Drosophila melanogaster: one gene and its partners. The protein of the gene in region 1 interacts with the protein of each later gene in a pairwise test. Each region holds a gene or a part of one and is shown on either strand. Other genes may lie near its edges. The genes, in order: CG4313, Ttc1 and CG42493.

Region 1 (12,502 bases):
CATTAAGCTCTACCAGGTCAGCAGAATTTGCTGTGGCAGATCCTGCCAAGAATCGTATTCCTAATCCCGTTCTACCAATCCCACAGGTTATGGAGACCAAGAATATGATCTACATAGTGTCGGAGTATGCCAGCCAAGGAGAGATCTTCGGTGGGTTGAGGCTTCATTTTAAAAAAAATTTTTTAAACTCGGACTGTAGAGTACAGTACTCGATTTAGTTAGCAGACTTTTGAACCCACATTGCGCACAGACTTGTTGACCTTTGGACGAACAACACTAGCTTTAAATCTCTCGCATTCTCTTAAGTTGATAAGGGTTTCAATGAGATGGACTTACCTTTATATTTTATCCAGATTACATTGCCAAGTACGGGCGGATGTCCGAGTCGGCGGCGCGCTTTAAGTTCTGGCAGATCATATCGGCGGTGGAGTACTGTCACAAGAAGGGCATAGTGCATCGGGATCTCAAGGCGGAGAACCTGCTCCTGGATTTGAACATGAACATCAAAATAGCGGATTTCGGGTTCTCCAATCACTTCAAGCCGGGAGAATTACTGGCCACCTGGTGCGGATCACCGCCGTACGCAGCTCCCGAGGTTTTCGAGGGAAAGCAATATACGGGTCCAGAGATTGATATTTGGGTAAGTGGTGCGAAGTATACGTGTCAATTTATCCAAAAATGTATAATTTCCTGCAGTCACTGGGCGTCGTGCTTTATGTGCTGGTATGTGGGGCCCTGCCCTTCGACGGATCCACGCTGCAGAGCCTCCGGGATCGGGTGCTTTCCGGTCGCTTTCGCATTCCGTTTTTTATGAGCTCCGAGTGCGAGCACCTCATTCGCCGGATGCTGGTACTGGAGCCCACAAGGCGGTACACCATCGACCAAATCAAACGCCATCGCTGGATGTGCCCCGAGCTGCTGGAGCACGTCCTGATAGCCAAGTACAATCTGGGCGCCGAGCGGCAGACGTCCGTGGAACCCAGCGAGGACATTCTTCGCATCATGGCCGAGTATGTCGGCATTGGGTCGGACAAGACGCGAGCCAGTCTTAAGAAGAACACTTACGACCATGTCGCGGCCATATATCTGCTCCTGCAGGATCGAGTTAGCCACAAGAAGGAGCAGAGCAACGGCTTAGGCGCCAGCGCCCTTGCCTCGTCGACCTCCGCCAGTCGGATGATCTACAGCTCCAGAAATGACCACCAACCGACGCAGCAACAATCGCAGCAGCAGTCCAAGACAATATCCACCAGCTCGATCCTGGCCAAGGATCAGTGCCACAAAAGACTTAGCCGCCATCAGACGGTACTCATGAGTGAGCGTAACGCCCACGCCGGCGCGACACCCACAGTTCCAGATCCCGGTCCCGGATACTACGCCAAGTATGGCCCACTGCAACTGCCACTGCCTCTGACGGGCCACTCCCACCTGACTGGGTATCTGAATGGAGGAGGCGTCGAGGTGGATGCCAGCGGCATTCCGCTGCCCATGCGGTACACCCCGCTGCCGACAGCCGCGTCGCCCGCTCCCTCTAACTGCTCATCCACATCCTCGAGGGTAGGACGACACAGTCTAAGCTCCAGCTCGCCGCGAAGCCATCGACCGGTGGCCATTTCGCTCAGCATCGACAACAACCCCTCGCTGGCCAACCTGCGGTGCAGGGAGATGATGGAGGCTGGAGGAGGACCCGTTGGAGCAGTGGGTGTGCCTCTAGCGTCCAAGCAGCTTCATCAGACCATCAGCGAGTTCATCATCAAACAGAGCACCGAAGACTGTCGTGCGCTGCTGCAGCAGGTGAGTTTTCGGCTGATTCTATCCCAAGTTATTTCTATCCTTATACTTTCGGCAGTCCACAGCAGTGGCTGAGGGTAAAGATGATCCGCCAAAGGCGGAATCAAGCGTAGGAGGCGTTCCTCCGCCCGCCTCTACCACACCCACATCCAGTACAGCGGGACCGGAATCGGGATCGGCTCCCTGCCCTGGTGAGATTAACGGCAAGACAATAAAGACTATGTCCAGCTCGAGCAGCTTCGATTCTAAGGCCAATTTGGGCCAAAGCTTTCGCTACAAGATGTCCGCCGAGGCCAGCAAGCTTTTCCAGACTCTCCAGGAAAGCCCACTGCCCGTGGAGGTGAGTGATACGTGTGAGTTAATAATTGCTTCCAGCTGACAAATTCCATTTCCTCTCCAGCAAAGGACTAAGCGTCGTGTGCACGTGGGCAGCACCAATGGCAGCGGCGGTGACTCCGGCCAGGAAACGAATGATGCGAAATCGAATGGCGACAGGTGAGTCTTGCAGTCACAGCGATAGTTTCTTGACTAATGTCGTTTTCTTCCGTTTCCGCAGCCGCTCGGAGAAGAAAGTTCTGGCCCAAGGCAGCTCCAGCACAGATGAGGGCTGCGAGACAGACCAGGGCAACGATCCGGGCTCTGCTTCCCAGGAGTCAAAGGGCAGCAATGGCGGCGGTAGCGGTAACGCCAACGGCGGACCCACCTCGCACTCCAGCAGCGATCTGACGCGGCTCGTTGGAACCACTACCTCTGGACAGAGTCACAAGATGCGCTCGTATGCCAGTAGTAGCTCGTCCAGTGGCGTTCTCGCCGGGAGCGCTGGTAGCTACTCCAAAAGTCTGAGCCAGAACCTGAGCCGCGGCTCGTCCAAGAGCAATTGCAGCGGTCCCTACGATAGCTTGGACTTTGCCTTGCCTTCTGGCAAGGGCAGTCTACCCTCGTGCATGGGCTCAAGTTCGATGCTGGCCACGCCCACTCCGGCCTCGGCATCGCCAGCGGGAATCTCATCGGAGCATTCATCGGAAAGATCGCTGTACGGGAGCCACAACTCCTGCATCCATATGCCAGGAGCTCTGCCGTTGGGCTTGGGCCTTCCTCAGAGTTCAGCCTCCACGCCCACGCCGAATCCTACGCCTCCGCCAAATGGCGGTGGTGTCACGTTCCTGGACAAGCGTTCACCCATACACTTTCGCGAAGGAAGACGGGCGAGTGATGGCCTGGTGGCCCAGGGCCTGCTTAGCTCTGGTTCCTTGCTGGGCACCAGTCGTGTGTACGGAAGTTATCGCTACGAGCAGGCCAAGCGTCACGGTTGGCTGGAGATCCAGCAGCTGCAGCAGCTGCAGCAGGAGGCGGCTGTGGGGCATTCACACCCACATGCCCATCAACATCCGCATCAGCATCCGCATCCTCATCCCCAAGCGTACGGCTTGGAAGAACTCTGTCAATTTCCAAATGGTCAATTCTATGCTCTGCCGGGCAAGCATCATCCGCTGCTGACTTTGCCCCATCATCATGCGCATCCTGCGCAGCATCACCATGGCCATCATTCGCTGTTCCATTCAGGCCACCAAGCCACACCTCTGCTCCTGGAAGCCGCTGCTGGTGGGGATATGTATGGTCATGGATGCTATGCTCCGCCACCGCCGCCACCAGGGCTATACACGCACCATCAGTTGGGCGTGGGTATGGCCGTGCCCATGTCCCCGATGCAAAAGCCACCGCTGCAGCAGCAGCTACTGCAGCACCGCCTGCTTCAGCAGAAGCGTCAGTTGTTCCAGAAGCAGTACGCACTGGAGGCGCAGCTAGCCGGTCGACATCACCACCATCAGCAGCACAGCCATCACCACCATCACCACTTTGGCCACAGCCTGGGTCCGCCACCGCCGCCGGCTCCGGCTCCGGAACATCACCTGGCCGACGAGTTGTACGAGTTGGCCTTGCTTGATCGGCCCAGGAGCGGAACTCCTAGGCTTCAGCACTCCATGACCATGCCCGGAGCTCATGCCTTCAGTCAGATGAACCTCAAGACTTCCTACATCAGCCAATCGGACCAGGTGCCTGGTGCGGCGCCTAATGGAGCTGGTTCCGGAGGATCAGCTGCTGGGGTATCATGCTCAGCTCCACCGTCCACGGCGCCGGGTACGCCCACGGTCAAGTGCAAGCCTACCACGCCCCACGGTCACAGCCTGGACTCCGACTATCATGTAAGTAAGCTAGATAACGCATATTAAGATGATTTCTCAGGCATCCCAAGTTCGTATATAAACCTTATCCGTTTTCTCCTTGTGTCCTCCGCAGACATCGACGCCGGTGCTCAGCCTTTTCACGCCCAATTGGCAGTCGCTGGTAAAGCCGCTCAGCGAGAGCCCCATCCTGGAGATATCGGAGCACCTTGAGTCAGTCTGAGGCCGTGTGTGATGTTATTCGGTGGAGGGGTTGGGGCAATTCGAATGGGAGTAGATTTGTAAGTGGAAGTCGGTGGGAAAGGAAAAGGGGTAGGACTGGACATCGAACTATAATGGGGGCTGGACCGGGACCGGGGCCACCTTTTTATTAAGCTCGCAATCGCAATTATGAATTATTTGATCCATATACGATATACACCCATACATACATATAAATAGCCTATATAGATATGAATGCGGGTCGGAATCGGAATCGGAGTTACATCGATTCACGTTTATTGGAACCGATAGAATCATTACCGAACCGGGCGAAGCAGTAATATTGAATGATTTAGTTGTGTTACTAGTCTTAAGTAGTCCAAGTTTCGTACGCATATACGCAGACATATACAATATGTATATTGATAATAATAGCGTTAAGCTATAGCTCTACTTATGATTACACTATACACTATTGTATTGCCCCCACGACAGTGGACGAGAACAACGTAACTACATATATCAATTATTCGAAGCATTTATTGGGGGCATAGAAAGGGCGTATCCATATAAGGATATATCTATTATGTATTGGTACAATAATTAGCGACAAGCAAAGAAAAAAAAAACAAAATTTAAACAAACATCGATTGTTCTTAAACATGGAATTCAAATGTAAACCAGATATTAAAGTCATTTGGTATAAAATGCAATATACTTCTGGAGTTCCTACATTATATAGATATAGATATAGATATATATGGGTGATCTGTGTTTTCGTGTGTGCGTGGAAGGGACGACCGGCCGGATCATGTGACTAGAAATCTTTTTTGGAGGCACTATAATCACCAGGGGATCAAGGAATTTTTTCTTACCGCAGATCATTCAACATGACATTTGGGTACTTCTCCCATCGTATTACTACCATATGGCACACATATATCATATCCCGCTAGGACGGAGGACGATGAAGGTGTTAAGGCATCTGTCGGAGTCACGTCGTGGCCTTCACCTGCCGATTGGACTCCAGGTGCTTTCGCTTTGCATTGGCCTGATTCCGCTGCTTCTGGGTATCTGGAGAGCCATGGCAGCGCAGCAAGTTCCAGTAAGCTCTTCGGTATTCGGAGCTCATCAACACGTAGATCAGCGGGTTGATGCAGGTGGTCAAGTAGATAAGTAGATAGCCAGCAATGTTGAACCAGTGCACCTCGGTGGCGCTTTTCCATATTTTGGCCACCGTGATGGGCAAATAACAAATTACAAACCACACGAAGATTACCAGTATCATCTTAAGCAATCTCCGGTCCTTGGCACTCATCCTTCCCGGGTAAATAGAGGATGCATTTGAGGTATTGCCCATGGAGGCGTAGTGGGATTTCCGCGGGCTAAACCGTGTGAAGGAGGTGGTGCGCAGGGATGTAGTGATAGGGTTCTTTCTGGAATGGATTTACGCATTAAGGTTGAGTGAAATGGCAAAGAAGCCTTCAACAGCTACTCACCCATGGGTTTTGCCCATCTCTAGTTGCGTTTGACTGCGTCCCAGGCTGACCTTTTCCTGATCCCGATCCCTTTCCTTCTCCCGCTCCTTGAGCACCACATTGGCATCAACAGGCGGTGGCTGCTGGTCCTGATCCCTCCTCCGTATGCTGTACGAGATCGGCAGACTGTCCGTCGAAGCATTGTCATCGATATACGCTAAGTTTTCCTCCACCACAAAGGGTCGTCCTGCGATCGGTTCGTTCGCCTCGCCGCTGGACGTGGTCACCTTCTCCGGCTTCTTTGGTGTGGCCATGGCTTGAATCTGATGCTGCGGCGCGGAGCTGGGAGTCACATCGCTGACATTGGTCTTGCCAGCGGTTCCCGCGCGAATGGCCGCCTTTCGCACCAGCAGGAAGATTCGGGCATAACAGATCACGATGCAGATGCACGGCACCATGAAGGCGGCGATGAAGAGGAACTCCTTGGGGGATCTACCATACCGATCATGCATGATGGAACACGAGCCGATGCTGACGTCCAAGCCAAAGATACCCCATACGCCCCGCCAGGTGGGTATCATTATGGAAAACGTGGTGATCCATGTGCCGGCTACCATCAAAGCCAAATATCGTCGCTGGTAAATTCTGGAAGAACGGATTTGAACCAGTGGGAATTGTATTTTGTACCATGTCTAATTTGATAATAATATATGCTCATTGTATTCAAATATATTATTTTAAGATATCCGTAGCTCACGAAAATAAAAACTAGCTAGTTATTTATTTCTCCAGAAATATTGTAGTTCATATTTTATAAGATATTAATTTCCGTTCAGTTTAATTGTTTATTACGAAAATATTGAGATCGCTGAACCGACCTTTTCTATAGCATTTGCCTCTAGCAAGTAATGTTCTCTTTTTTAGTTAATTAAAAAACATCTACGAGAAGCCATACATTTTCCTTTTTATAAACAAGTTCAAAAGTTTATAAGTTCAGAAACACAATAACATATGTGTGGGTTTTTTTCTCAGATTAAGTGGTAGGTTACCATGCGTATCATAATAAACAGATAAGCACCAAGAGGAAGAGTTGGGCACTCTGAATACCCTTCAAGATTTAGGCAGGACATGCCGATATGGGCAGGCCCATTCTCACCTTGGATACTGCCTGGGATGGGCGATAATGATGTACCGGTTGATGGTGATCAGCGACACGGAGAGCAGGGACACCGCCAGCAAGCCGTAGCGCAGCATCGGAAACAACCTGCACAGCAGATCACTATGGGTCCACGCCCGCTCCTTGAAAGTGGACGCGGCCAATGGCAGATTAAAGCAGCCAAAGAGTAGATCCGAGCAGGACAAATTGATTATGAATATGGCCGTGGAGTTGCGGGTTTGACGACCTCGCGACAGGGCCACTATGGTCAGTAAATTTCCGGGAACGCCCACAATGATGAACACTATGCAGGCCACCCAGGCGATGGTCAGCAGCTCGTCCGAATAGCCCTCGAAGAGCACCTGGCGCCTGTCGTCTACATTGAGATTAAGATTCATATTCAGATTGAGGTCCACGTCCACGTCCAGGTCCAGGCTGTCGGAAAGGGGTACCGGCAACACCGCGTCCTGATCCGCCATGTGATCAGTAGCATAGGGATCCGAAAGAGGCAGCGCTATCGAGATCGGATGCGGAGTTGGTCCGGATTTTGGTGGGAACATCGCGCGGCACTTTGTGTTCGGCAAAAGACGCGTTGCTCGTTCCTGCGCCGAATTTGTACTAAAACTGAATTCTCCGCATCCATACACCGACATGGTTCCCACCCAAAAAGTGGGCCCGAAGGCAGTCGCCGCCAGCCAAGCGTACAAAATATTGAGAAAAAAAAAAAAAACAGCAGGCGAACTAGAAAAACTTTCAAAAAGGAAAACAAAAGAATCTCAGAGCAGCAACAGCAGCAACAACACACATTTTTATTGTATACAACAATTGACTTCATCATCGGGTAATTTGGTAATTTGCGTGTGGAATGGGCGCTTTGTTTACATTGTTCCTATTCGGTGTTGTTTCTTAACCGCCCTTCCCGCCCCATTCCGCCCCAATCCACTCGACTCTTTCGCTCTTTCGTCGATATTCTGACGGGGTCATGTTGCTGTTGTTGCCGTTTTTCAAAGTTTCAGATACTAGACCAGGGATACCATTGCCCAAAATGGTTCGACGTTTTAGCTACATACTTGAGCATTCCGACAGCCAGAACATACATACTTGCATTAGACTAGTCTTTGCATCAGTCTGGTGGAATATAAGTCATGAGCAGCATGGGGAAAGTTATCTGCATTGCTAACACAATTCAAGACTTATCACTTGCAATGAAGTAAGAAGTTCCCCTCCTTAATTGATACCTTGACCGATACGTCTTGGATGCTTAAAAAATTCGGTGTGCCAGAGGTTACATGAATATATTGGGAATACAATGAATAAGCTCCTACAGATGAATCGAGTCTATTCGTAGCCCTGATTTCGGGCCATACGCACCTCTCCGGCATTTTTGAAATGAAAAACTTTTCGGTTCCTGGGTCGTGTGCATGTGTGTGTGTGTTTGTGTGTGTGGTTGCATAGTTTCCTCTGGCAATTTTCTGGATAATAAATGGGCGGCATCCATTCGAAGCGAGGAACTGAAAAAAAAAGCAAAACTTTTGCGAGAGGGACTCATTCGAATAAATATGCCTATAGATCGAATTTGTGCGTAGAATGAATACTCCAGTCATGGGCGATTAATCCTGAATCATAACTCGAGACTATGCGTTTTTCACGCTCTCATAACCCGTTTCGAATAATGAGTCAAACCCCGGAAGCCTGGTGTCACACGACGTCAGCGTACATATGTAGTCTTAATTAATCAAGCCAATATGCCGGGGGAAACCTCTCTACTTTTCCGAGGGTCAGAGTGCGGGTCGTCTGTTGGGTCGAATTGAGTATTGTTTGCCTTTTGAAAAGAAAAACAGGCGGTTCTAGGGAAAACTCTTTGGCAACGGCACGAATACGAATACGTTGTTTGTTTTCATGCAGGCCAATAGTCCGGGAATTGCAGCCGACTACCCAAGAAAATAACATTCAGTTCTTGAGGAAATTAATATAATTATAGCGCCATATCGCATTCACTTAAATGACGAGAAATTTTTAAGTTTAAGATCCTAGGAACTGGATGGAATACAATACGTGATAACGAAACATATGGCTCATCCTCGTACTTGCGAAAACATGCGTTTTCATAAAACAATACAAGGCTTTATCGAGCTTAATCTAAACGTATAATCCCATCATTTTTTAAGAAATTAAAAGTGCACTATCCTTGCGCCCACCACTGTACTTGGAAATGCCTGCGGGATGGGCATAAAAGTGGAAACTAAGACCTCCCCCCCCCCCCCACTCATCAACCATTCTTGATATGATTGTGAATACGATTCGAACGCCAATCGACGCCCGCTTCGGATTCGAATTCGGATCCAGAGATCCAGACTAATGTAAACTTCTCCGGCGTACTTACATATACGCCTATACGCATACGCACACGCACGGGCCCATGTTTAGATAGCCATAAACTATCGTGTTCTTCACACAATCCGCAGCAAACAACAAACAATGAGAGTGCGCACAAATCCCTACGTCTTCAGTTCGATATCTGCACCGAAAACATTTATTACCAGGTCACAGTTCCTAATGCGATATGTGCGGTAGCTCCAACCATCAGTTCCTTACCATGCGACAGACCGTTTTTCCCAGTGCAGCCATGTTGGATCGCCTCGATCGATGTCGAATGTCCAATTGTGTAAACATTAGAATGCAGACACATGAAGCCTTATCATTGCACATTTGCTTCAGTGGAGAGAGGAAGCAGAAGCGGCGTATCTGCGATATGCATCTGATCGATCGGCAACCATTGAGCGGCCTCCACCCACACCCGCCCCTCGGTCGGTCACCAGATGGCCGATGGCTGATCGCCGATCTCCGCCTCTCTGTCTGTCCCTGTCTGTCTTCTGCGCTGTCTCCGGCCGGCGGGCGAGAGTGCGGGAGTGCGAGCGAGCAAGAGAGCAGAAGAGAGCGCCAAGTCGTGGGGGCAGTAACAGGGGCGCGCCAAATGAGGGGAAACCTGACTAACATGGAGCGCAACTGACGTGCGTTCAGACGGAATATCTAACGAACGGAGTATACCCTCCCTCAATCAGTTCCCTACGCCACTGGCCGGCGGCGGAGAGTCATTTAGACACTAGTTGAGAGTGAGAGTAAAGAGTGAGAGGGGGCTGCCGATTGTCAACTGGCAATATCGCGACTCGCTCTACGCTGCCCGCACTCGACGAACTGCACTCGATCCGGCAGTTATAGACGATCCAATACGATCCGGCACGAGAACGCAGGCGCTACGCAATTTGTCCGTTACATTCAACCAGTACGGATAATAAACAACGAAAAGTAACTACGATTTCAGTTCGACTTGAGTGACATTCGATACGATACCGTTGAAGCAGTCGCGAGCGTGTGCCTATTTGTTAGATATTTAATTCGACTGTTCCTTTTTGTTTTTGTGATTATGTCAAGTGCTGAGTTAGGGCAACCTGTAACCCTTTTATTCTCTACCTGATCTCGCGATTCAAAAGCATTAGTCATGAAAGCTGGTGCGACTTTTGAATCACCGACAGCAGCAAGCAATAACAAAAACAAAAAGCAATGCTCCAGTGGCGTCCCCAGAGCAACAATAAAAAACACAGCGATTCATGAATAACCCCAGCAAATGCCGAATGCCGTAAACTGTTTACATTGCTAACAGCATTACTCACTCACTCTTTCACCTCGCTCAACCTGAGCGAAAAAGAGGAAGTGGTGGAGTAAGAGTTGGAGAGGAGTGGAGTGGAGATCGGAGTTGGAGAGAGTGGAGAGAGGAGCACGACAGGGGAGCAAAGAAGAGAAGATCGCAACCGCACTAGTTTCCATTACGTGAGCAGAAAGCAAATAAACAAGCGATTTCGATTTCCCCATACCCAGTTCCCAAGTCCCGCCACTGTCCATCCTCTCCTCCTGACCACTGATAACGCGTCCGTCAGTGTGGTGCGGCACACGACTTAGAGGGAAGAGGAGAGGTTGAGGAGAGTAGAGGAGACCTAGACACGGAGAAAGCAATCAGGCCAAGAGGAAGGAGAGAGCGAGAGCGAGCCCAGCGATCGTTAGAATTACTAGAATCGCAGAGGATTACCAAATAGCGAAACCAAATTCAGCTAGGTAAGTGCTTTTTTGATAAGATAAGGAAATATTCTAAATTCGTATGTGTATGTGTATGTGTAAGCGAGCCAGACACATTGCGTATACGCCCCGTCGGACCGTGCTAAGTGGCGGCCGTGACCTGGTCGGGGTTAAGGGGAACGAGGGCAGCTGAGGGCCACAGAGGGCAGAGCAGAGGCATATCAATGCATGTACACAGAAAACAAATGCGTTGCACAACGAATTCGAAAACGTTTCAGGCATAGGCTAACGATTGCGTTAAAGATTCCCATACTTAATATAAGGCCAAACCACACCTGACTGCGTTGCACAGAAATCGAAACAGCGACATTTCCGACCAGTGCAGAGAATGTTACAAGAACATAACACTTGTCTCGATTAGCGGCCACTCGAGCGGGAACAGAGAATTACCATCGCATCACATCACATCACGCATTAGAGACGCCCGGAGACGACCGTCTCCGCCAAACAGTCACTCAATTAATTAAGGTTCGACGCTGATCTTTGCACCCCGAGTGGTGCAAACTGCTGAGGCAGTAGCCACCACTGAAACTACTACCGCCGAGCAACTGAAACCGAAACAGAGGCGATTGTGACCTCTTTAAATTATTTAATTGACACTAATTTATCATAGTCCCGAGGAAGCAGAAGGGGTGCCACGCCCCATGCCGGGTTACGGGCCTCGGACTCCGGCTGCCGGGCTACGGCTACGAGCGTTGCGTCGGCGCGAAGTGCAGTCAGCGCCAGCGGTTTTTTATTTCTTACCAGAGCCTGAGCCTCCCATGTGCCACAGCCACTGCCAGTTGGCAATTGTCGGCGGTGGCGATCGGTGTTCAGTGATCGGAGATCGGTAGCGGAAAACGTGGTGGTCATCAGCGAGGCAAGTTAGTCAGAGACCAGAAGAAGTGCAGACCTTAGGAAGTCGCGAGCTCGAGAAATTCTTTTGCCTTAAAAAAGGTGAATCATTGTTGGAACCAGCTTCAACACGACTCTCTTGATCCCTCAATGGGCTAGTATACTAGTGATGAGCTCCTTGTATTTATTCTTCAATTAATAGGGAGTTGATTATTGAAAAACGAATTAGTATTAGAATTCAAATAAGCAATTTATCATATATGTAGATATGTAGATATCATATATGTAGATTACGTTTTGGGACAAACAAGAATAGCCCGAAGAATGTACACATGAACCTAAAGTGCACAGGAATGCAGGGTACGGCGATCCCATTCAATCATCCATCATTTGGGATACCGGAACTTATTCCAAAAGAATATAAACATTTGCTAACCCACTGATAACCTTGACGGTCGTGATTTTGTCCAAAAGGATGATAACGATCAAGTTCATCACACTAAAGAGAAAAGTGTATCTCAAATAAAATGAAAAAGTCTGTTCATAAACACAAGCAGTTCATTTAATAGTTGTGCTTCATTCCAGGAAAATAAAATGATTCATTTGTAGGTAAAACACTTGGTTGAGTAGTCTATCAAGCTTACTTGATTTCCATAGTTCTAAAAGTCCGATTTTTTCTTTTTTATTCTAAAGCATGAGTGATGAGACAACTATTAGCCTGGAGGACG
Region 2 (10,960 bases), on another chromosome or scaffold:
GGGTTTCCCCGAGAGTGCGGACTGTTGTTCCGTGAGTGCTGGAAGTCCTCGAGAGGAATCTCCTCCGACCTAGAATGAAAAAATATTACACATTTATTTATAACTCGATTAGGTGAAAATTAGTAAATTTTATAATTAACAAACACATAGAATAACGAGGACAGATAAAACTGGAGGGCTTAAAGGCATGCTATTCTTTGTTTATTTGTCAAAATAATATGCAAATAAATATAAAAATATAGGACAAACGATATCTTTATACATAATTATACAAGGTGGTATTACAAGCAAACTTAGTCAATCTTAAAGATTTTTTTTTGGCCAAGGAGCCAAAAATGTAGCAAATTTCGAGAATCATGTAAACAGCTCGATAAATTATAAAATAAACTTTTTGATGTCTTGGGCGTAATCCAATTAAAAAAAATAGAAAGACTAGTTTAGAATACTGCAATACTTTACAAATCTCAATTATAACAGAAACCATTCTAAGACTACAGAGCTAACGAAAATGTTTCATTGTTACCGCGGCCTGGGCATTCTAGGGCTGCTCTCCCGCGACCGATTTCCAGTACTTCTGGGCTGGGAGTTTTCCCGAGACTGCGAGGAGCTGTGGCTGCCCATGCTAACACTGGGCGATCGCTCCCGATCCGAGTGATCGGCCCTAAGATTCGAGCCCGAAGTTGAGCTGGGACTGCGGCGTCGGGAGCGGCCAGCGCTTTCATTTCTAATTCTGCGGGAAGACGCACAGATGAGGATGGAAATGAGGAACATGAGGACACACCGACGTGAACTTACCCTTCGATGGATCGATTCGGGGCCATCTGGGTTCGACTAACCCCAGCGCTATTGCTTCCACGCAGCACCGCTGCAAATCCCGGCACTCGATTGGCCGTGGAGAACATGGGACGGTGGTGACTACTGCGCGAACTGCTGCCACTGCTGTTACCACTTCCGCCGCTACTGGATGCGACCATTGTGCCACCAACAGCGTAGACGGGAGAGTCCATCTGTCCAGGAATCTCGATGAGTTGCGCAATCTGGTACATCTTCTTTTGTCGCGCCTTGCTACGACCCTTTGTCAACCTCTGCTTGGCAGCCATGCAACGGATGTGATCGTCGAACAGGAACTTAGCCGAGAGCAACGGAGTGCGGTTGTGAGTGACTCCGCCCCGGTGCACGGTGATGTGCAAGCAGCGCGAGTCATCCTTATCACCCTGCACCTCTACGTCCTGCAGAAAGCCAACGAACTTTGCCACGCCCCAGCCAAGCAGCTTTGCATCCGGCTCGACGAGAATTAGCTGCAATGCGTCAATGACCAGAAAGCGTCTTTGCTTGCTGCTGTCCTTGGCCACAACGGTGCAGGCTATTAGATCACTATTGTCTAGATGGATAATGGTTAGCCTTAATATATACATACATCATCGTAGGAGGAGTATACTTACTCAGATCGAGTACGTTCTCCACCTGAACCAGATTGACTACATTTGTAAGCGGCAATAGCGATTCCTTCTCATTCAAAAACTTTTGGCACGTGCGACGCAGCAGGAAGTAAACGCGAATGGCTCGGCGTGCCTTTTCCACCTCCCCGCAGGGAAGTCGTCGCGTAAAGTTGATTCCAGTAAGTGGCGTTCCCGTGGGAGGCAGTAGAATGGTGGAGTCCATGCACAGGAATTCCACGTTCAGTTGCGCCTTTCGCATCTCGTTGTATTCGTCTTCGAACAGGTCTAGGAAGATGTCCTCCGACTTGTAGAAGTTACGGATCACCACCATCGACTGATTGCGGGCGCTGAAGAGCAGATCCTGTTGTGCGGCGGTTATGCAGCGCGAATCATCCGAGCTGGGACGGGTGAAAGTGACCAGTAACTCCAAGGCAATCTCCACGGTAATCAACCGAATGCGGGACGCTTTAGGGAATTCAAATGGAATTATTAAAGAGCTAATGATAACCGGAGTTCGAACAGTTGTACATACATGGCTGACTGGACTGGGTGATGATGTTTAACAGATGCTCAATCAAGGCTGTCTTATAACTGAAGGCGCCACGGGTTGATTTTGCAAGAACCTGCTCGAACCACTCATTCTTGATGCCTATATGGAAAGGTACATAAAGATATTTATTAAGGAGACTATGATAGATGCATACGATTGATTAGTACGGGCAGTGGACGAGTTACATACCATCTGAACGGATTGGGACATGTACCAGAATGTGACATTTTCATTACACACAAAGAAAGCAATTAGAATGAAGCAAAAATGGGGTGATCAGAGCAATGGAAAGTTACACAACATTAGCCAAAAAAAACGTCAAATTGAGTTAAGGGAAATATCCATGAATATTACCTCTATTGTGCGACATAGCATATATGAGGCACAGCGACAGCAGGGCAAGGTAATCGTTTTCGGTGCAGTCCAAAGCATGCAGGACCGTGTCTAAAAACGGTTTGGCCATCTCAGCAAAGTCAGCCTTCGTTGAGGAAGATGACTTCTGCAGCAGCTGCTTTTCCTCGTCAGTTATGTTGCGCAGTTTAATCTGCTCCGCTTCAACCGCATCTGCTTGAGAGTCCAGTTCTGTGGTGGCTGGGGATGAGGACTCCACGCCACTGTCCTCGCTAAGGGCATAGCTGGACGAGCTGGACTGACCGGTGACTGTATCCAAGGCCTGTTCGAGACTCTCGTCGGGCTCGCCGAAGCCAGGCACAACCACCTCGCGGTGCTCAACGTATGAATTAAGAATCTCGGCTGCACCCTCCTTAAAAACGCTGTGGTCACCATTGAGGATAACCCAGGCCAGAGCGTGCACCAGAGGGGCATGCGAAACCACCAGGAAGACCAATGAGAGCAGGAAAAGGGCCACGATGGAGCTCACTCGCGGATTGTGCATCTCCTGTATGTCGATGTCCACATTGCGATTAAGCACAGCAGCTAGATTCTGGGTAACCACTGCCAGTGAGGGCGGGGGCGGAGCTGGTGTAAGTGAGAATATGTACAGAGGCACGAATAGCTTATGCAGCAAGTGCTCGGTTAACACCGCGTTCAGATCCTTGATTTCCAGTAGAAGAATGTCACTCAAATAATGCAAATGATCCAGATGCTCGGCAACCAAATTGGACAGCTTTTGATTCGATTGATGGCTGCGGATGAATTAAGAAATCAATACTATAAAACGAGGGACTATATTACAATAACTCTTACTCTATATCTGTGCGAACACAAGTGTCTAGTTCAAGAATGTGTTTGCCGATAAACCAGACCAGATTACTGAAATATGGAGCAGCCGTTCTAGGGAGAAAAAAATAGTTTAATGGAGCTCATGGGACTGAAGGCAAAGGTCGTACTTGTCTCGAATAAAACGCAACATGCTTGGATTTTGAACCTTGTAGACATTTAAGGAAATGGTGCGCACTGCAATTCTCACCATTGACTCGGGATGATTAAAGAACTTAATAGCCTCTGTATACAAGGGAAAGTCATTTGTGTGCTGTAAGGAATATGTCACATTAAATGGATGTAAATATGTGTTTTAGGCAATGCAAACCTCATTGTAAAAGAAGTGTATTGTGTGAGTGTTTAACTTTAGACTTAGCGTCTTTAAAAAAAGTATATAATAGCCCATCACATCCTCGTCGGAGAAGTCAAACTTGTGCACCATGATAGAATTTACATGGTTGTTGCTCAACAGATAATCTGCAACGTCATAGGAATGATTACGTCTACTGTATTATAGAAACTGTTGAAAATTGTACTTACACAGGGACGTCTCGTTGCGTATGTTCTCAAAGAGGATGTTGAGAGTCTGAAGGAGCTGCACGCAGACGAAACTCGAGCCTCCACTCTTTTGTCGCATTATGTGCAGGAAATACGATAGCATATTCTTCTCCAAGAAGAAGCTGTTGCAAATAATTAGATTAAGGTTTATTACATTGAGATGCTTAATACTCACTCAAACACCAGCGAGTCATGCTGGTCGCCCCAAATCAGGATCTCTGCGATGCAGCGCAGCGACTCCACCAGCAGGCCACGATTACTTTCCGACACGGTGGTGTTCTTCTCCAGAATGCTGTACAGGTACTTAAGGTGCTCCAGCGACAAGCGGTTTTTGGGCCGCCCACCCCAGGGTCCGCCAAACCAGCTGCGACTCCGGAACATGTTGGCAACTAGGATGGAATCAACTGGCCACGATCCGCCTGACTGCTCTCATATCAGGGTAAGGAGGAGTGCGGGAGCGCTGTTCTCTTGGATCTTTGCATGCACTACTGCTCACGGTCACGCCACTGGGTTGGCCCACAATAAGGGGGCACCTAATGCCTGCGATTGCACGAATCTAATATTGTAATTTGCGAATGGCGATTTTTTCCAACAAATTGCTCTTCTTCTTCACGGGGAACACAAGTGTCACAGTCAGCTGTTGCTTCCGCCCATATTTATGGTTATCGGTATCGAAGTAACAGAGATGACAAGTGGCTATTTTGTTGTGATTGCATGAGAACTGCGACTGGTTCACGACTTTTAAAAACCTCTCAAAAGAACCGTTTGAATTTTGTAAAACCAGACAGTAAAATTTGGAACAAACCTCATATATTAATAGCATATCACACCATGCATTTTACATTAAATATAATTAATGGATTTTTTTGGTACCGTTTGTTATGAAAATGGGTTCACATTTGCATATTCTACAGAGGTGAAAATGTACGAGAACTGAATTTGATACGTTTTGCTACAGTTTGACTATTATTTTACACATCATCCACGAATACGGCTTTATTTGTTGATCTGCAGAGCATTAGCTAGCTAGGTTTTTATTTAAAGTTGATGGAATACGAGCCCGTGTTGGGATCCTGTTGCATTTGGAAATTCTGTGTAGACAGTCCGAACGGTTTGAGTATCATGTTGCCCAGGTCCTTTAAGCTGGACATCATCTCGTTTTTGAGCTTCTCGTTGCGCTCGTTTATAATTGGCGGCAGCCGAATCTGAGCCTCGCGAGCCTCCTGCTGACCGGGATCGATCTCAGTAACTTTTTTGTAGTCCTCCAGAGCCTCGTCGGGCTTGTCTTCTTGCTCATAGAGCTTGGCGCGCCTGTAAGATGTAATTAGACTTTAGAAATTTTAAGGGAGATATTAAAATAAAGACCTTAAAAGCACCCTCACATACTCCGGCCACAGTTCTATAGCCTTTGTGCAGTCGTCGATGGCCGCTTTGTTGGCCTCCAGCTTAATCTTGGCAGCAGCCCTGTTTCCGTAGAGAACTGCTCGCTCCTTGGAGCTGGCCGAGGGGCAAATGTCTAAGGCTTCTGTGTAGGTCTTGGCGGCGCCTTCGGCGTCGTCATTTTTGAACAACTCGTTGCCCTCAACTTTCAGCTTATCGGCCTTTTCTTTGTTAGCTGTCAGCTGCTCTGGGCTGAGATCCTTCTCCCGTTCGCGCAACTCCTCAATGGTTAGCTCAGAGTCCACTGTCGTTGGTGTCGCGATGGAATCTCCACCAGCCGCGCCCTGTTCCGCTTCGTCATCCAACGCCAGCTGGTTTTGCTTCTCCACGATCTCATCCACGTCCTTTTCGCTCTGCCGCGTGCTGGTGGCCTCTTTTTCGGTTATCTCCTCCCCGATCGCATCATGGAATTCGTCGTCACTGTTGGCGTTGCCTGCCATTCTTTTTAAAATTGATCCTTACCGAATTTACTGGAGATTTCGGTTTGTTGTTCAGCAACAAATAAAGCTCCTCATGCTAACGATAACTGTGCATATCGATAACACCGATGTCGTACAGTGTTGACAAAGGTAGGTTTCTGATTAGGTACCTTCCCAAGCTAAGAAATGTTAGGTACAGATAATTTTTAAAACAAATAATTTAAGGATAATCCTTAATGTTGTATTTGGCAAAGATGAAGACCAATTTAAAATAAACATTTAATCTTTTACAGCTTCCCTTGATAAGGGAAGCTGTAAATAAACTCTTTCCAACACTACCGCTTGTTAACGATTTGACTGCTGCCCATGCGAATTGGTAAATACGGGAAAAATGGACTTAGGAGCTTATAAATTGAGTGAATACATCCCCGCCAAGCCGCTGGTCGGTAATCTGGAGTTGTGTTTCACGGACGAAGAGCAGGTGAGTTAGGAGCTACCGTGAGAATAGCCTTTTCAAGCCTATCTTTGTAGAGACCCACCGAAACATGCGGCCAACTTAAATGCTGCGATATTTTAAAGTTCCCATTCGCCCGCCCTGATTTCCAGCCAAGTTCAGTGGAGATAAAGGAGAGCAAGGTGCTCGTGTCTGCTGATAAGGCTACAGAGACAAAACGCGTGGTGGAGCTGACTCTGGAGTCCACGTTCGATTACCAGCCCGGGGATACCATTGGAATTTTGCCTGCTAATAAACTCGAACAAGTGGAAAGTCTGCTCCATCGGCTGGAACTGTTAGACCAGGCCGACACCACTTGCCACTTAAAGTTGGTGTTCAACTGCGCCAATAAGAATGCTAAGCTACCCGCCCACATTCCAGCAACTACTACTCCCCGGGAGATCCTTACCCACTGCCTCTCCCTTAATTTTGTTCCGCAGAAGCAGCTCCTCAGCGCCCTGGCCGGATTTACAAGCGATGACAAAGAGCGTTGTTTCCTGTCCTGTCTGTCCTCTAAACAGGCCACCGAGTACTACCAATCGCTGATATTAGAGCAAGGCCTGCTTTTCATAGACATTCTTGAAGTGTGCGTCAACTGCAGGCCACCACTGGCATTCCTGGCAGAGCACTTGCCACGGCTGCTGCCGCGACCGTACTCCATTGCCAACAGTCCCTTGGAGGCTAGTAATCGCGAACTTCGCGTTATCTACTCGCTGCTCAGCCTCAAACCTGGAGTCACAACCAGCATGTTGGAGGCGGCTGCACAGCAAAGCAGTCCGGAGCATTCCAAAAAAGTAGTTATCTACCCACGAATGAGCAACCTATTCCGTTACACAGAGCGGGATGTGGGCAGAAACCAAATACTTATTGCTGTTGGCACAGGTCTGGCGCCTTTTCTTGGATTCTTAGCCCACAAGGAAGAGCTTATAAAACAGCAGCCGCAACAGCCAAGCGGGCAATCCTGGCTCTACATTGGTGCCAAGACCCCAGAAGCAGTTCTTAAGCGTGAAAAACTAATGGAGTGGCAGGAATCTTCGTTGCTCGAGCGCCTACGGATGTGTTACTCGCGAGGCGAATCCCCCAGCTACGTGCAACATATGTTGGAGGAGGACTGTGAGGATCTGGTCGAGTTCCTGATGAAGTCAGAGACTGTGTTGTACATTTGTGCCGATGGCGCCAAGATTTCGCAGTCCATTGCAGGTGTTTTAAGTCGTTGCTTGCAGAAGGCTATGCATCTCACTGAAGAAGAAGCTTCGCAGCTGTTAAAAAAACTGAGGAAGCAGGACAAATACCGCGAGGATGTTTGGCTGTAATGGACAAGTCTTAGGTGCAGTCAAAATAAAAGCTTCATTAATTAAGCCCTATAAATAAATACCTTAATATATTAGTCGTTTGTAACTCTTACAGAAAATTTGAATTTTTAGTGTGTTTGTTGTTTTTACGTACGGTTAAGGTCGTTTATTTTCATAATTGAAAATAAGTGTAGCAAAGGAACCACTTCCACTGCTCATTTGAGTAGCTAATGTATGCAAGTATTTGCACTCAGATGTTTGTAAATCAATTGCTATTATTTTAACTGCAGCCTCAATGTAAATAATTATAAAACAGAAAGCTTTGGTCGAATAAGTAAATAACGATATATTTAACAACACAAAATAAAAATTACAGTGCAAGGTAAACTAAATACATACAATTGTGAGGGCCATCTTCAATGATCGAAGTGGATGGGGACGACTACGTGTACTAAATGGATTTGGGTCTGTGTATAAAATTGACTTAAGTGGTAAATTGCAAAATATATCTAAATAATGGTAGAATATAGATTACGACTTAGGTTTCAAGCAAATTAAACGTGCACACATAAAACATAAAACGTATAGTAGGGTTTGCTCTTTGAATTTAACCGATTGGTAAAGCGCTAATGTATCGTTATTGTTTCTCCGCTTCTCTAAATATCTAGATCTTTTTATTTATTATACTGTTTACGTTTATTTTGGCAAGTCGTTTTGACCTTGCACAATAATATGCATTTTGTATTTTATCTACGTTTAAGTTTAATTGAAATAGAGCCAATTCTTTTAGTGTATACTAATATAATTACGAATCGATCAAAATTGATGTCAGCTTCTTCTTTCTCCTATTCGTCCCTTTACATTTGCAATAAAAGTTGCGTATAAAAAATTATGCTACTTTATGTTGTTCTTTGTTTGGTTTCAAGACTTAAGTTCCATTTTACATTTACGTTTTTAATTGCAAATTTTGCGTTCGTCTTAAATGCGTTTGCGAATATGTAATGTCGGGTATGTTTCGGTTTCCAAAAAGGCAATCTAACCCCGTTTCTACTGCCCCAAAATACTATCCGTTCGTTGCCTTGCCTAATACTCATTTAAGCTAAACTAAGAAAATCAAGTATATTTTCGATTAATAATTAAGCTCTTTAAAAATTATGAATGCATAATTGTAGGCCAAATATTGGGATTTCATTTCGTATATAAAATTTAACTATGAACCGATCTGCAGCAGCAGCAATCCATTTTCCCTATTAATATCAAAATTGCAAGTAAAATATAATCCCTATCGGTAAGTGTATATATAACAGATAAAAAAGCTAACACCGGCTGGCGAAAGATCCTTGAATGCACTCCTTTTTTCATTCGCCTTCGTTGTGTTTTCGTAAAATATCTGTAGTCTGGCGACTAGCCCACAGATATACTTTTCGAATAGAACTTGTGGTGGTGGGAAATAGCATAAAATATCGAACTGAGAGGATAATGGAAAAATAGGTAGTTTAAACCTTCTTCAATATATTCTCTTCGGCAATTGGCATTGCTTATGATTCCCGTTGGGAGTAGGTTTAGTGTACGTATACCACTTCTATATGATCTATATAGTCTTTCTAGGGACAATATTTCAATATTTCACTTTAGCTTTGACACACACATTACGGCGTTAAATAACATCTCTATTGTGATAGGGGCTTGTATAGAATTACAATTTTCTTTGTGCGTATGGCAAATATCTCCAAGGAAGGAACAAGGGAATCTACTTTAATCTGTTCTTTTGTGGCGTTTGGTTAGTCTTACGTTTGTACTAATTAAAATGGAATATCGAACATTTATCCCTCAATCCCGTCCACACTGCGAATATCAGCTAATATACATACAAGCTCTGTCTAGCTGGCTCTAATTAGTTATCTGTTGCATCGATATCTGTATTCTATGGGAAATGCATAAATTGTGGAGATAATCTTGCTGTGTGTCGCTTGCTGCTGCTAGCTCTAGTCCTAATGGCACTTGTTACACTCATTTCGACTTGCTATATCTATCGCCTTCGTTTTGTTTTGATTTTTTTTTTTTGTTTTTTGGTAATGTACAACAAGTATTGCATGTTCTCTGTTAGGGTTCGTTTGCACTTACTGACTACGACGAATTTTATAAAGAGTCGCATAATGCTGATTTGATAAAATCGCTTAAATCACAATTATGTATATATACGGGTATATAAAGAGTAATCAAACTTATGTCCCTACATTTAATAATACAGTATCTATGTATATCATATGTGCGTGTTTGTGTGCGTTGTTGAAGTAAGCTAATTTGCCATAGGACAATCTAATCTAAGCGATAACCCCGCCCCCCTGCCATCGATGAACTGCTCGAGCGATGCGATATGGATCCACGGTTTGGCGACGGTTTCCTTCGAGTTTTTCGGCCCCTGCTCATCTCTCTGTCCTCGCTGACTCGTGCTGCAAAAAGAAGAGATAAAATCCTATGATTACTTATTGTTGTTAGGTATTCAGCTCGGTTTACTGCACTACAGAAGAGCAAAGGGGCAAACAGGGAACGGGATAGCGAATAATTAACACATCGACCTCTAATAATTGTCATCACCCTGAAATTCGTTTATGGGCCCAAGAATGTACAATTATGTGCACTGAAATATATAAATGGACTTGAAAATTACAGACTTCGATGCTTGCACTAAAATGTGCCACGAATACAAAGTATGTTAATTTAACACATTAAAGTGGTTCTTGCAGTTGGGAATATATAAATATAAGTCCCACAAAATGAATTCATGTAACATCATTAATTTGCATTTATATAAGTGAATACTAGCAAGTTAAGCTCATGGTTTTGATATTGTTAAATGCCATGTTTTTAATATGAGGTCGAGCACACAATTTGTTCGGGAAGCGTAAGTCAAATGAGCTAATCAAACAACTTTTTCCTTATCGGCGGGCCCCTTATCACCGCATTTGATATAACCAGCTGATAGCTGGCCAAAGAAGTCGTTAAAAATAGATCGCTACACTCACGACAGGTGAAAGGACCTTGGGTAAGGGGGTTCGAGGCCAGGTGAACTGCACATTATTAATAATAATGCATTATCAATCCCATTTTATGGCGCCCCTTTGGATGTGTTATATTTGGGGGGCATCTGCATAATCTTTTGGCGTCATTCGCCCGTTTTGTTCGACCGCCTTCCCCGCCCAGATATCTCTGTTGCTGAAAAGAACTATTGTTATGCCATGTGAGAGCGGAGCACGTCAATTATCAGCACAATAATTGGTTATATTTATCAGCATGTGAAGCGGCACCCGCTCCAAAGTCACGCTTCGATTTCAATGAAACACGGACTGTCGAGCTTTTTCAGTTTTCCCCACAATTTTCCTTTAACGAAACCAGAGATGAGAAAATCTTAATGCCCAGATCAAAAATACATTTTAGGTATTAGAAATTTCATATTATAAAATAAAAAATATTTTCAGTAACAGTGATACAACAATCTCTTGCTGTTGTCAGTTGTCTTGTCGAGCTAATAAGAGCGTGTTCCAGAT
Region 3 (10,268 bases), on another chromosome or scaffold:
GTGCCGAGCAAATAAATGAGCAATCAAGGGCCAAATTAGCGGCACTTTTATAGTAGCTAAACTGGGGGCTTTCGATAGCGTCGGTTCTGATTGGCGCCAGGTGAGGCAAATGCGCATCGAGAAGGTGACTTGCACCGCCATCGAGACCAGACAATGATATCAAGGTGGTAACTCCACTATCAGTGACGAAATCAATTCTTGGCCTCACACCACGACATGAAATTCATCAAATACTAGTCCCCAATCTTACTCATGTTATATTAACATAAGTTCTCAAATTTTTAGCGTACATTACAAAAAATATCTCTACGTTTTTAATGCAATATTAAAGGTTTTTCTAGACCGGCTTGACCGATTAATTCCCTGAGTGTTATGTTATCAAGCTTGCTTCGTCGCGTTTCCCAGCCATTTAATCTGCTTTGCTAAACATTGAAGTTCATCAATGAAAAGAAGATAGCACTCACTTCATGTTGGTAAAAGTTTCCACTAAAGTATATAAGGATCATATCACATGACTTACATTTTCTTAATTTCCGCCAAGATTTTCGTCTATAAATTAGTACGTACTTAGAAAATATAAGTTAAGGCATAATGTTAGAAGGGGCAAATATGGATTATTGAGTTTGAAGCCTTAAATGCATTTGTATAAACCATATTCTTTTTAGTGGCTTAGTATTAACACGTTTATGGATCAAATAGTGATAACTTGGCTTTACCCCCACCAACCTTCGCCAGATCGGGTTCTTGTTTTATTGGTTAGTTAACCATTGCCGTGGTATTATTGGGTGCTGTTTAATTTCCTTTTTCTTGTTGCGTAGCCCAAAAACAGCGACGCTTATCAGGAAATTATTTCAAAACGTTAATTGAATTGTCAATAGATGGGGAGGCAGAAACGCTTTTGGTGACTGGGGCCTCTGGCGACTGGGTGATAGTCGAGAAGGAAAGGTGTACGAAAGATATACGCCCAGAACATATACTTCTTGGTATTGCCTCTATAAATACCAAGAGCTAAATGTATGTAAGTCTCGGTCTCTAATTGCATTTACCAGATAAGAGTTTCGTTGCGGGTCGAGTTTGGTTTGGGCTTTCTCGTTATGGAAATCCATCCAAGGCCACCATAATATCCAAGCCAGTTAACTTGTTATTGTTATTCTCAATATCTGGGATTGATGATCGTTATCATGATCGGCATTGTTTTGGTCAACAGCGGAAAGTTTCGCGTCGCGTTTTAAAAACGTGCTTTGCGATAGGAGAGTGCGAATAAAACGTGTTTCCCATAATCACTCTGACTGGCATTGATAAATCGGGCTACCTCAAGAATGCCACAAATTTTTGGTGGTATCGGGGTGAATGATAATTGTCACAGCGAATGGGATTCCCCAAAGCCTCAGGGTTGCCCAAAGGTCATGTTTCTTTCATTTTAAATAGCCTCTCTACTGTTGTGTGTATCACTGCACATTGTTAGATGCCAAAAACGAGATACATTCCGAAATCAAGCTGCCAATCTTGAAACGTGGATACACAATGCTGGCCCAGACAAATGATTAAAAAAAAACTTTGAGATACGTGAAGTGGACATGCAGTCTAAGCTATCTGGACATAATGTGATATGATATGAACATGATATGATCCCGAAGCCAAGTCGTAAATTTCGTTTCTATTCCTGGAAAACAGGCGCAGTTGAGACCTCTTGACATTGTCAGTGATTTTGATTTATGCTACCCGGCAAAATATTCGATTGTGGTATCGATTTGGTCTTCAGACATAAAAGGCTTTCGCTGTAAAGCGATTTTCCGACTTTTACGCCACGATTTCCGCTTTCAAAGTGAAGTCCTCCTTTTGTTCCACCAATCTGCCGCTGTTGACTCTATTAATGTGTGGGTAAATATTGCACTTTTCCTGGGATTAAATGCTTCCTCGGACTTAAGTTGACATCGATGCCGTATTGCCGGAATGTTCTTCAATTGATATCCAACAGATAAACATCCCATCTTTTAATCGTCCAGAAATCGGTGCTTTTGTATGGAGAGTGTAAAAGCAATCGCTGCTAGCCTATCCCATCGCTATCATATCTCTAAAATGGTATAAATACCGTCCGTAATTTGCCAATCGCGCAACCTTATATAAATTTAATACGGTCGCACTTGGCCAGACATGTACTTTGGTTTCTTATCGATGTTCTGGTTTGAACCGAAAATCATCTAAACGTGGTTGAAAGAAACAAACAAACTCAGACTAGGATAACTGGGTGCCGTGATGCTGTGGCCCTTATATAAGCTTATTGTTTTTTTTAGCAATTACCCTGCTGACCAATTAAAATAAATGACACGTTAAGATAGCCTCTTTACTGCGCAGATGTTTTGCGGGCATTCGCTGTTATTACTTTGAATAACAAATTGGTCTGGCGAATATTTGTTTTTTTTTTTTTTATGTAAATATTATTGGCGCACGCGAAATTGATGGAGCACAGTGGGCCAAGTTAGCTGGCAGCTGGCCAAGGAGTATTGCCCCAAACTATATAATTTATACATTAATAAATGCTGCACAAACAATGGTTTTATCAATTGGCGAATGTCAGTCGGGAATGTTATCAGAACCACTGATAGAAATAAAGTATACATACTACGATGTTATGCACGTTAGATTAAACAATTTCATGATTTAAAACTTGCTTATGTTTAATACATATATATTATTATTATTATTTACTGGGTCATATTAGTGCCAACAAATTGTAGTGGTATTGTATTTGAATAAAATATAAAACTTCAGTGTAACATCAATTTGGTTACCATGTTCATGGGGTCATAGGACATTGCTTGAAGGATATCCACCCACCCACTTGTGTCCCAGTCCTCCGGCCACCAGCCTACACCACCCACCACCCACTTTGCCCCATTCGATAGAAGCAGCAGCAGACGGAGCTCCACAATCTTATCGGAGCTGCTCTTATTGATTAATATAAAGATACTGACAGCCCAATCGACGCAGTGCGGCGGGTATCTGTATCTGTATCTAAATGGGGAAGGCTAAGCACAGGCCCTCCGGAGTTCGTGGAGCACCTTTTCCACCTGGCCGGCGCTTCCAGCTGACATATAGAGCAAACAAAAAGACACAATTATTTTTTCATATTATTGTTATTTGTTATAATACGAGATAGGGGGCTCCTTTTGGACTGTCCTATCTGACACGCATTTCTCTGCCTTTGGCGCCCTCTCAAAGGCGATAAAGGCGGCATTGAATGACTGACAATGCACTGAGCGAAATTCCAACGCCGCGTGTGGAAAGAAAAAGCTTAGCCCCAGCTATTTGCGCACTTAGATAAGCGCCTTTTTGGCAGCACATCAAAAGTGATAATCGATTGCTTTTCAGGTGGTTTTTGTTTGCTGCTCGGGGTTTCGGAAGCATTGTTTTGGGGAGCGTTTTTATTGGGTGGAATTATCGCGAAATGGAATTTTAATGGTTGTTGTTTAACGAAGAGTCTTCCGGTAATATTTGTACTTAATAGCCATACTTAAACATTTTTGAAATGGTGTGTTTAATAGAGCAGCTTCTTGAATATGTAGTTTGTTATGCTTGCACGATTTAAGTTAATAATTTAATTTATATCATTATTAATTGTTGTTTGTATGCTTGTTTATGATTATTTTATTCTTCGTTCTTGATTATAAATAGTTACATTTAAATGAACTCTCTACTCTTTATTGATTTTCGCGACCCAATAGCTGAGTTCTAAAGTTGGAGCTCCTAGTATTCCAGCTTCGAAAATGGGAACCCCCACGATCACTTTCACTGCAGTGCGACCAACCCGAGCACTACCACCTGTCATTGCAATAGCTTATGTCAACCGCAGGTGACCCACTTGTATTGTAGATCCCCTGACTCCGCATATTATACCATCTCATCTTGCAACTCATAAAGGCCCCGCAGGAACCAGGGCTTTATTTTTGGGTTATATGCACAGAGAACACTCCCTTTTCCACTGGCTTTTATCGCAAGCCAAACTTCCGCTCAGTGTATCCCCGCCCCAATTTTTATGGAGCGTTCTGCGGGCAGTTGAGCGCCAGGCGGCCTTTTTGTGATTGTGATTGTGCTGACAACAGAACCCGGCGAAGAAAGACAGCCGACGAGCTGTTTATGATGATGATTTGTGCCATGTGCCATATGGCATATGCCACATGCCATATCCATGCGATGCAAGTTACCATGATTTGGTGTTTTGGCTACGTCTGGGCTGGAAAACTGTTATAAACACCACTGTTTGTGCTGCATAATTACTGCCTGTTGTTTATTTCCTGTAACATGCAAGGCGAAGCCCTCCCATAGACCGCCCCGTCGTCAGAAGACAAACAGAAAATAGGTCTATTCATGGGGGCTTATAAAGCTGTTCCGTTATTGCAAAACGCATTTTGTCTTATCAGTGAGGCAACTGTCGGCTAAAGAACCCAAAAGGCTCTCGGAATATTCCACATTGCGAAGCATTATATTTGTCTATCAACAGATACAAAAGACTGGTACTTGTTTGTAGGTCTACTTACTCAGGCAGTTTCTTAGCTTTTCCTTACCAAATTTTTGAGCAACTCTGGATTCCGTGGGCCAATATCCAGTCATTTTCTTTGACCTTATTTAGTTTCCATAAGTCGAAAATGTTTAACATTCCGTTGTGCAAAAACAAAACTTAGCAATAGGTTTGCTATTCCAGTGAGCTTAAGTTCTAAATTTGAAGACGTAATGAGCTTTGCAAAGGTAAATGAGGTCTTAATCGGGATCTTTAATGTAAATATTTATATCAAAGGAATTCCAAATATTCACCATGAACCCAAAAATATTCCACCATGTTTTTGGATGGATATATATTCAACAAAATACAAATTTAAATCTTAAACATAAATTTAAATCTATATATTAGTATTTTTTATAAGAAATGCAATTCAATTCGAAAAACATACTTTTAGTTCATTCCCGTTTTCACAGGGTACCATGGCGTCGATTATATGCGTGATTTTGCAATCGGCGCATTTTGTTGGCGCAACCCCACGGCACGAGAATCAAATCAATTAGTTCGCTTGTCAAATGCCATGTTGTATTTTGGATTAACAACTGAAGCAACATATTCGGCGATATCGATAAAACGATAACAAACGACGCGTGGCGGACTCAACTGTACTTAGAAGCACTTTAACCTTGTATTTTTATATTTTGCCCCGCTAATATAATCATACGTGAGGAACCGAAAAGAAAGCAAATAATACCTAAAGCTTGACCATAATTAAATTTACATTGGCAACTGATGCTATTTTTGGGTATTTCCGCTGGGAGGGGAATTTAAAACCGATCCGTTCAGCTTGACTCTAATCCAGTTGACCGTCGCCACGGTCTATTTTGGATCCTTGGTTCCAAAAATGAAAAGAACCTTCGCTGTCCACGATCGTTATCAGTGTAAGATAGGTCAGTCCCATTTGCTAACTGTTGCAGGAGTACAGTTGCGGTCAATTGGCTAATACAGTACGGCCTCGATGAGCTGAGCTGAGCTGTGATTACACAGCCTAATTAAAATACCACCTCGATAATTGGGCTGAAGTACGGGTACTCAATGCCTCCACTCGATCGCACATTTTGCAGTGCCGAATTCCCTTATCGATCGATCCGGGCGAACGACCCTCACTGGGGTCTCAACTGTGTACCCTCGTTATGCAAGTCCCTGACAGACTTTGGCCAAATATTTTAGCCATGACTAGGCCAAGAAGGCAAGGAATGCTAACTGCTATCTGCTATCAGCTATCTGTGTCGCTTCCGCGTCACTTGATTGATCAAAGAATGTTCACGCAGGCAAACCCTTTTTCGCTTCTTGTCGCTTTTGCGTTGTAAACCAAAACTTGGCGATCTGAGGGCCCGACACTCGAGAGCCCCGGCGGCTGATGTTATGTCTGATTTGGAGCTGATAAAATGCCAGGGCGTTTATTGTATTTGACTTGATTTGTTTGGCATTGTCTCTGTCTATCTAATTGCTGTCTACAGAACTAGAATTCTCGGAACTGCCGATGGCCAAATACTAGAGACGAGTGTGTAGGATTACGGGCTACCACTAACTGTAATTTCAGTTAGCTGGACACTCGTTACACCGACAGGTGATTCCGTTTCGAATGGACTCTTGGCCTCCAATCTATGCGAGTCCAATTTTATTCATTCGAGTCGCACATGTGCACAATTTCTGAATGTGTTATTGTTTAACCTAATTAAGAATTAAGCATAATGTGGAAGAGGTTGATATAAATGTTTACATCTCTCATCGCAGACATCTTGAAAGATTCTTAAAAAAAAGTATGCAACAAAAAAATTGTGTTCAAAATTTGCACAATAGTTGTGATGCTGGATAATATTTTCTTTGAATAGAAAACAAAATAATTTCTAATCCAAAATAAAAACCAAGAGCTCCGTCATTATCTTTCAGTTTTACCGACTTTCAGAAAATATGCATTTAAGAAAATTTTTGTATTGTTGGCCATTGAAATATGGCGTTATTACTGTGGGCATTGCTTTTGGACTCACGGACTTCATCGTGGGCAGCATTGCATGGGACATGGTTATCAGAAACAAATATCCAGACTATGTGGTCGAGTTCTTCAGAACCATGGACACCCGAATCTGTGTGTCCGGATTTGCCACCGTTTTCTGGTTGATGATGACCAACCACTTTCTTTTGATCTATGCCGTCTTTTACGTGAGTTCGAATGAGTTTATGCGAAATCTAGCAAATCCTATCTCAAAAATCCTTCTAAACTCAGCACAAACTTTTGATAATCGGAACTTGGCTGTTGATAAACTACATGGTATTTTTGTTCACCCTTGTCACCGTGTTGTTGGATAGCTTGCTAATCCTTAGAATAAGTATGTTTGTTGGGATTGGATGTGTTATGACCAACTATAACATTTTTACATTTAAGTTGCCCTCGGATACTGTTTGATCGTGGTGAAGTCCTATTATAGTGAGTTGGCTGAGTCTCAGGAGGAATCATCCGATTCCAGTGAGGAATCAACTAGTAGTGATAGCGATTAAAATGCCTCAAATGTAAGCATTTTTTTAATTCAAAAGGCAATAAATTCGATTTATAAAGTATAAGTAGTTTTTTTTATTATATGAACTAAATACCTTATTTATGCATTAAATCAAATAACCGATAATATCAATTTTTGATCATTTTTCCGAACTCAGTAGGCTGTACCCTCCCCTTTTTGAATCGTCGCTTGTTGTGTGCTTGTCTTCCTCTTTCCTGAAAGGCAAACAGGATTAAGCGATAATGAAACTGCACTTTCCGAAAATGCCGTCAAAAGCCCCGCTTCAGACTCATTAAAAATCCATTAAACTCGATAAAAATGAGAGGGAAGCAGGCTCCCCAGAAAGAGCGAGACAGAAGGCGGAATAAACATTTCTTAATAAGCTTTACACACAAATGTGGAGCACTTGGTGACAGTTCCCACTGAGTTTTTCGGTTTTTTTCCCCCCAAAAAGGGTGAAGTCAACACAGGCCAAATAAAAACAACAAAAAAGTCGAAAGTCGAGGGCCGGCCACTTAAAAGCTCATTTTGTGAGTGCATTTCGATGTTGCATTTGCAAATAAATCATTCGGTTTCCCATTCGGATTTCATGCTGCTCATGAGATATGCAAAAACTCGACGAGTAAATCAGCTTCCAAAGCGTTTTAACTACAAATGAGCCAAATCAGCGCCGATCACGAACAGCTTATGGTCACGCATTCATTATGAATTAAATCGTATATTAACGGATAATCCGATGGACTAGTGATACCCAAAATCAACTGGTGGGATTTTATATAAGTAGTGCGGCGTTCCTAGTGCATGAGTCACACCTAAGTGACCCCTAATTAAGTATGTGATGAAAGCAGGAAACAGGGTATCCAAATAATCACTTCCTTAATAATATTTCTAAAGAAATATTCACTTACTTAAGATACATGTGTCACTTTGTATAGATGACTAATACTTTGAACGTATGTCTGTTGAACGTCTACAAACAGCAGCAGCTATTTAGAAATAATCTAGACACCCATTTCCTTTTACACAATATTTATTTTGAATAAAATCATTATCATATAAGTATTTCGTACATATGAATAAGTGACAAATATAAAGTCCAATTGAGAGCACAATGTTTCCTATCACAGTCCACTTCAGTGTTTACTGCAACGGTGAGTCATCGCTTGAGCCCATAACCCATGTTTATACTAACATCCAGTTATAATAAGCAGGTCTTTAGAGAACCATAAAACCTATTTACCAGATACAGCTACACATAGCAGATACAGTTGCAGTTGAGTTGAATGACACCCTCCTCGAGTGCAGCCCACACTCTGTGTCAAACATTTATCAGGCAATCGATAAGGAAAGGAGCTCCCCCGATTCGATCCGATCCGCACTGCTTCGCTCTACAAAGTTGGGGATAAAGTTATCAACGACATAACTCCCGATACAAAGCGGTTGAGTTTGGTTTGTTGTTCACAACTTTGTTTAATGATTGGCATAAAATTCACTTTCCGACTGCCTGCCGTGCGTTTTATGCCCTGGATCTGAATCGGGGTCGGAGTGCTAAAACTCCTGATCCAAGCTGCCGACTGGCTCCTCTAGAATTTATGCGGTGCCATTAAAGAAGGTATCCATAAAACGCTGAGCTTAATTAAAACGCCACGTAAGGCGGACCCACTAGGATGGCCGTTTAAAGTTGAGCTGCAAATCGCGGGCAAGCAACCTATATTTATGGCTACAAAAATCGGCATCCTTTTTCAGCGCCTAATGAGATTTTCACAAAAGCAAAAATCATAATTTCCACGCGCAACCAAGCGCAACAAATTGCCCTTTTGCCAGGTGGGCGTTGCACTTGCCACAGTTGCACACCCAGCTAGTCACACCCATTTCGAGAAAATAAAAGAGAAAAGCGGCAAGCTTGAGTGAAATAATATGCTTTAATAAGATATTTATAAATAGATTCAATTATATTTTTCGGGAAACTCACCTTGTTTGGACCTTGACTGCGTTTTTAACTGTTGATTACCTCACTATTTGACTTGGGGAGATTTTCATATTCGTTGGGTATTAATTCCTTGTCAGCTGACAAGCAAAATCGTTCACTCTCACTTTTAACTTCACTTTGAAACCAGCAGAATGACAACATTAATTCCTAGATTAAGTGGCCTTTTGGAAAATAAAAAATTTATGGACGCTCCTCTAATGAGGAATTTAAAAGTGAAGTGAAAAAGAGAATTTCCGTGAATATGAAGTATACACGGTTTGCTTGCCAGCGAAAATTGATTTATCATCGTTCAAAAGCAAATATCTGAACGAATGCAGAAGGAATTTCATTGTTCTAAATCAAAGTCTGAAACGCGTCCAAATAAATCTAATCGGTGTGGTCAAGGAAAGAAGTCATTTCGTTTGTGTTTTCAATTTGATTTAATACGCGAACTGTGAATCTGTTTTATGACGTAAAGCTAATGCAGATTAGGAAATCAATCCACTACAACATTTTTGGCTTCGTTCACAACAAATTGCCGCAACGATTATCTATTGAGTTGCCACAGGCAAGTTGGCAAATATTAATAATCCGCCGCGTTGTACCGCTTATGCAATGAGCCGTGGCAATTACACATTTCTTTGCGATTGCCCGCCCATCGAGACGTAAGCAATCTAGGGGCGCTGAAAATCCGATAACCGAGTGGATCATTAAAATCTGAAATTTTCTGCACATTTAACAGGCCACAAGATACTGTATCTGCGGCTTCTTGGGACATATCTGTCTGGGTTCGCATATCAATTTCACCCCAGGACGATCTGCACCCCAGGAGCTTGATATCTCGGCGGTCAGGGCTTGTGTCCTGAACCCTTTCGTCGCATAAGGCAACTTAATTCGCTTCCGTTTGCCAATCCAAACAAAAAAGAACAAGAAGAACGCATAAGGATGAGTGCACTGAAAAAAGAGTTTATCATATCATGTTATTTTCTTTTAGCTGAAAAAATAATTTCTTGTTAACAGACACATATTTTTGTCACAGTAATAGTGTTTCGAATTTTATATCCACTATATGGTGCTAATTGTCATATTTTTGAGTACAATGATTCATTTTAAATTAGATTCATATTTCAGAATGTTTTCCTAGCTACATCGGTTTCAGTGTAGCCTCTATTGCAGGGGAGGATTGGCAGTCCTTTCGACAGCTTCCCCTGCGCCCCCCCCCTCCTGTCTTTGACCCTCTGCT

Evidence for each region.
Region 2: the proteins of CG4313 (region 1) and Ttc1 interact in a two-hybrid assay, tested with the Drosophila melanogaster proteins (one large-scale study listed by BioGRID).
Region 3: the proteins of CG4313 (region 1) and CG42493 interact in a two-hybrid assay, tested with the Drosophila melanogaster proteins (one large-scale study listed by BioGRID).

Annotation. Positions count from the first base shown.
Region 1 is NC_004354.4:2,047,613-2,060,114, reverse strand, and holds CG4313 (uncharacterized protein), read right to left. Parts: upstream 7,432-12,502; 5' UTR 7,370-7,431; coding exon 6,810-7,369; intron 6,299-6,809; coding exon 5,675-6,298; intron 5,612-5,674; coding exon 5,170-5,611; 3' UTR 4,701-5,169; downstream 1-4,700. Other genes in the region: Sik2 (Salt-inducible kinase 2), read left to right, coding at 1-16, 87-150, 354-640, 697-1,794, 1,850-2,131, 2,192-2,286, 2,348-3,995, 4,090-4,197; moody, read left to right, coding at 12,469-12,502.
Region 2 is NT_033777.3:16,437,270-16,448,229, forward strand, and holds Ttc1 (tetratricopeptide repeat domain 1), read right to left. Parts: upstream 5,739-10,960; 5' UTR 5,649-5,738; coding exon 5,134-5,648; intron 5,080-5,133; coding exon 4,803-5,079; 3' UTR 4,574-4,802; downstream 1-4,573. Other genes in the region: ema (endosomal maturation defective), read right to left, coding at 1-69, 524-730, 796-1,381, 1,443-1,904, 1,972-2,088, 2,344-3,134, 3,196-3,282, 3,339-3,481 and 3 more; CG14882 (uncharacterized protein), read left to right, coding at 6,019-6,108, 6,159-7,433.
Region 3 is NT_033778.4:11,772,120-11,782,387, forward strand, and holds CG42493 (uncharacterized protein), read left to right. Parts: upstream 1-6,406; 5' UTR 6,407-6,472; coding exon 6,473-6,721; intron 6,722-6,785; coding exon 6,786-6,888; intron 6,889-6,944; coding exon 6,945-7,057; 3' UTR 7,058-7,116; downstream 7,117-10,268.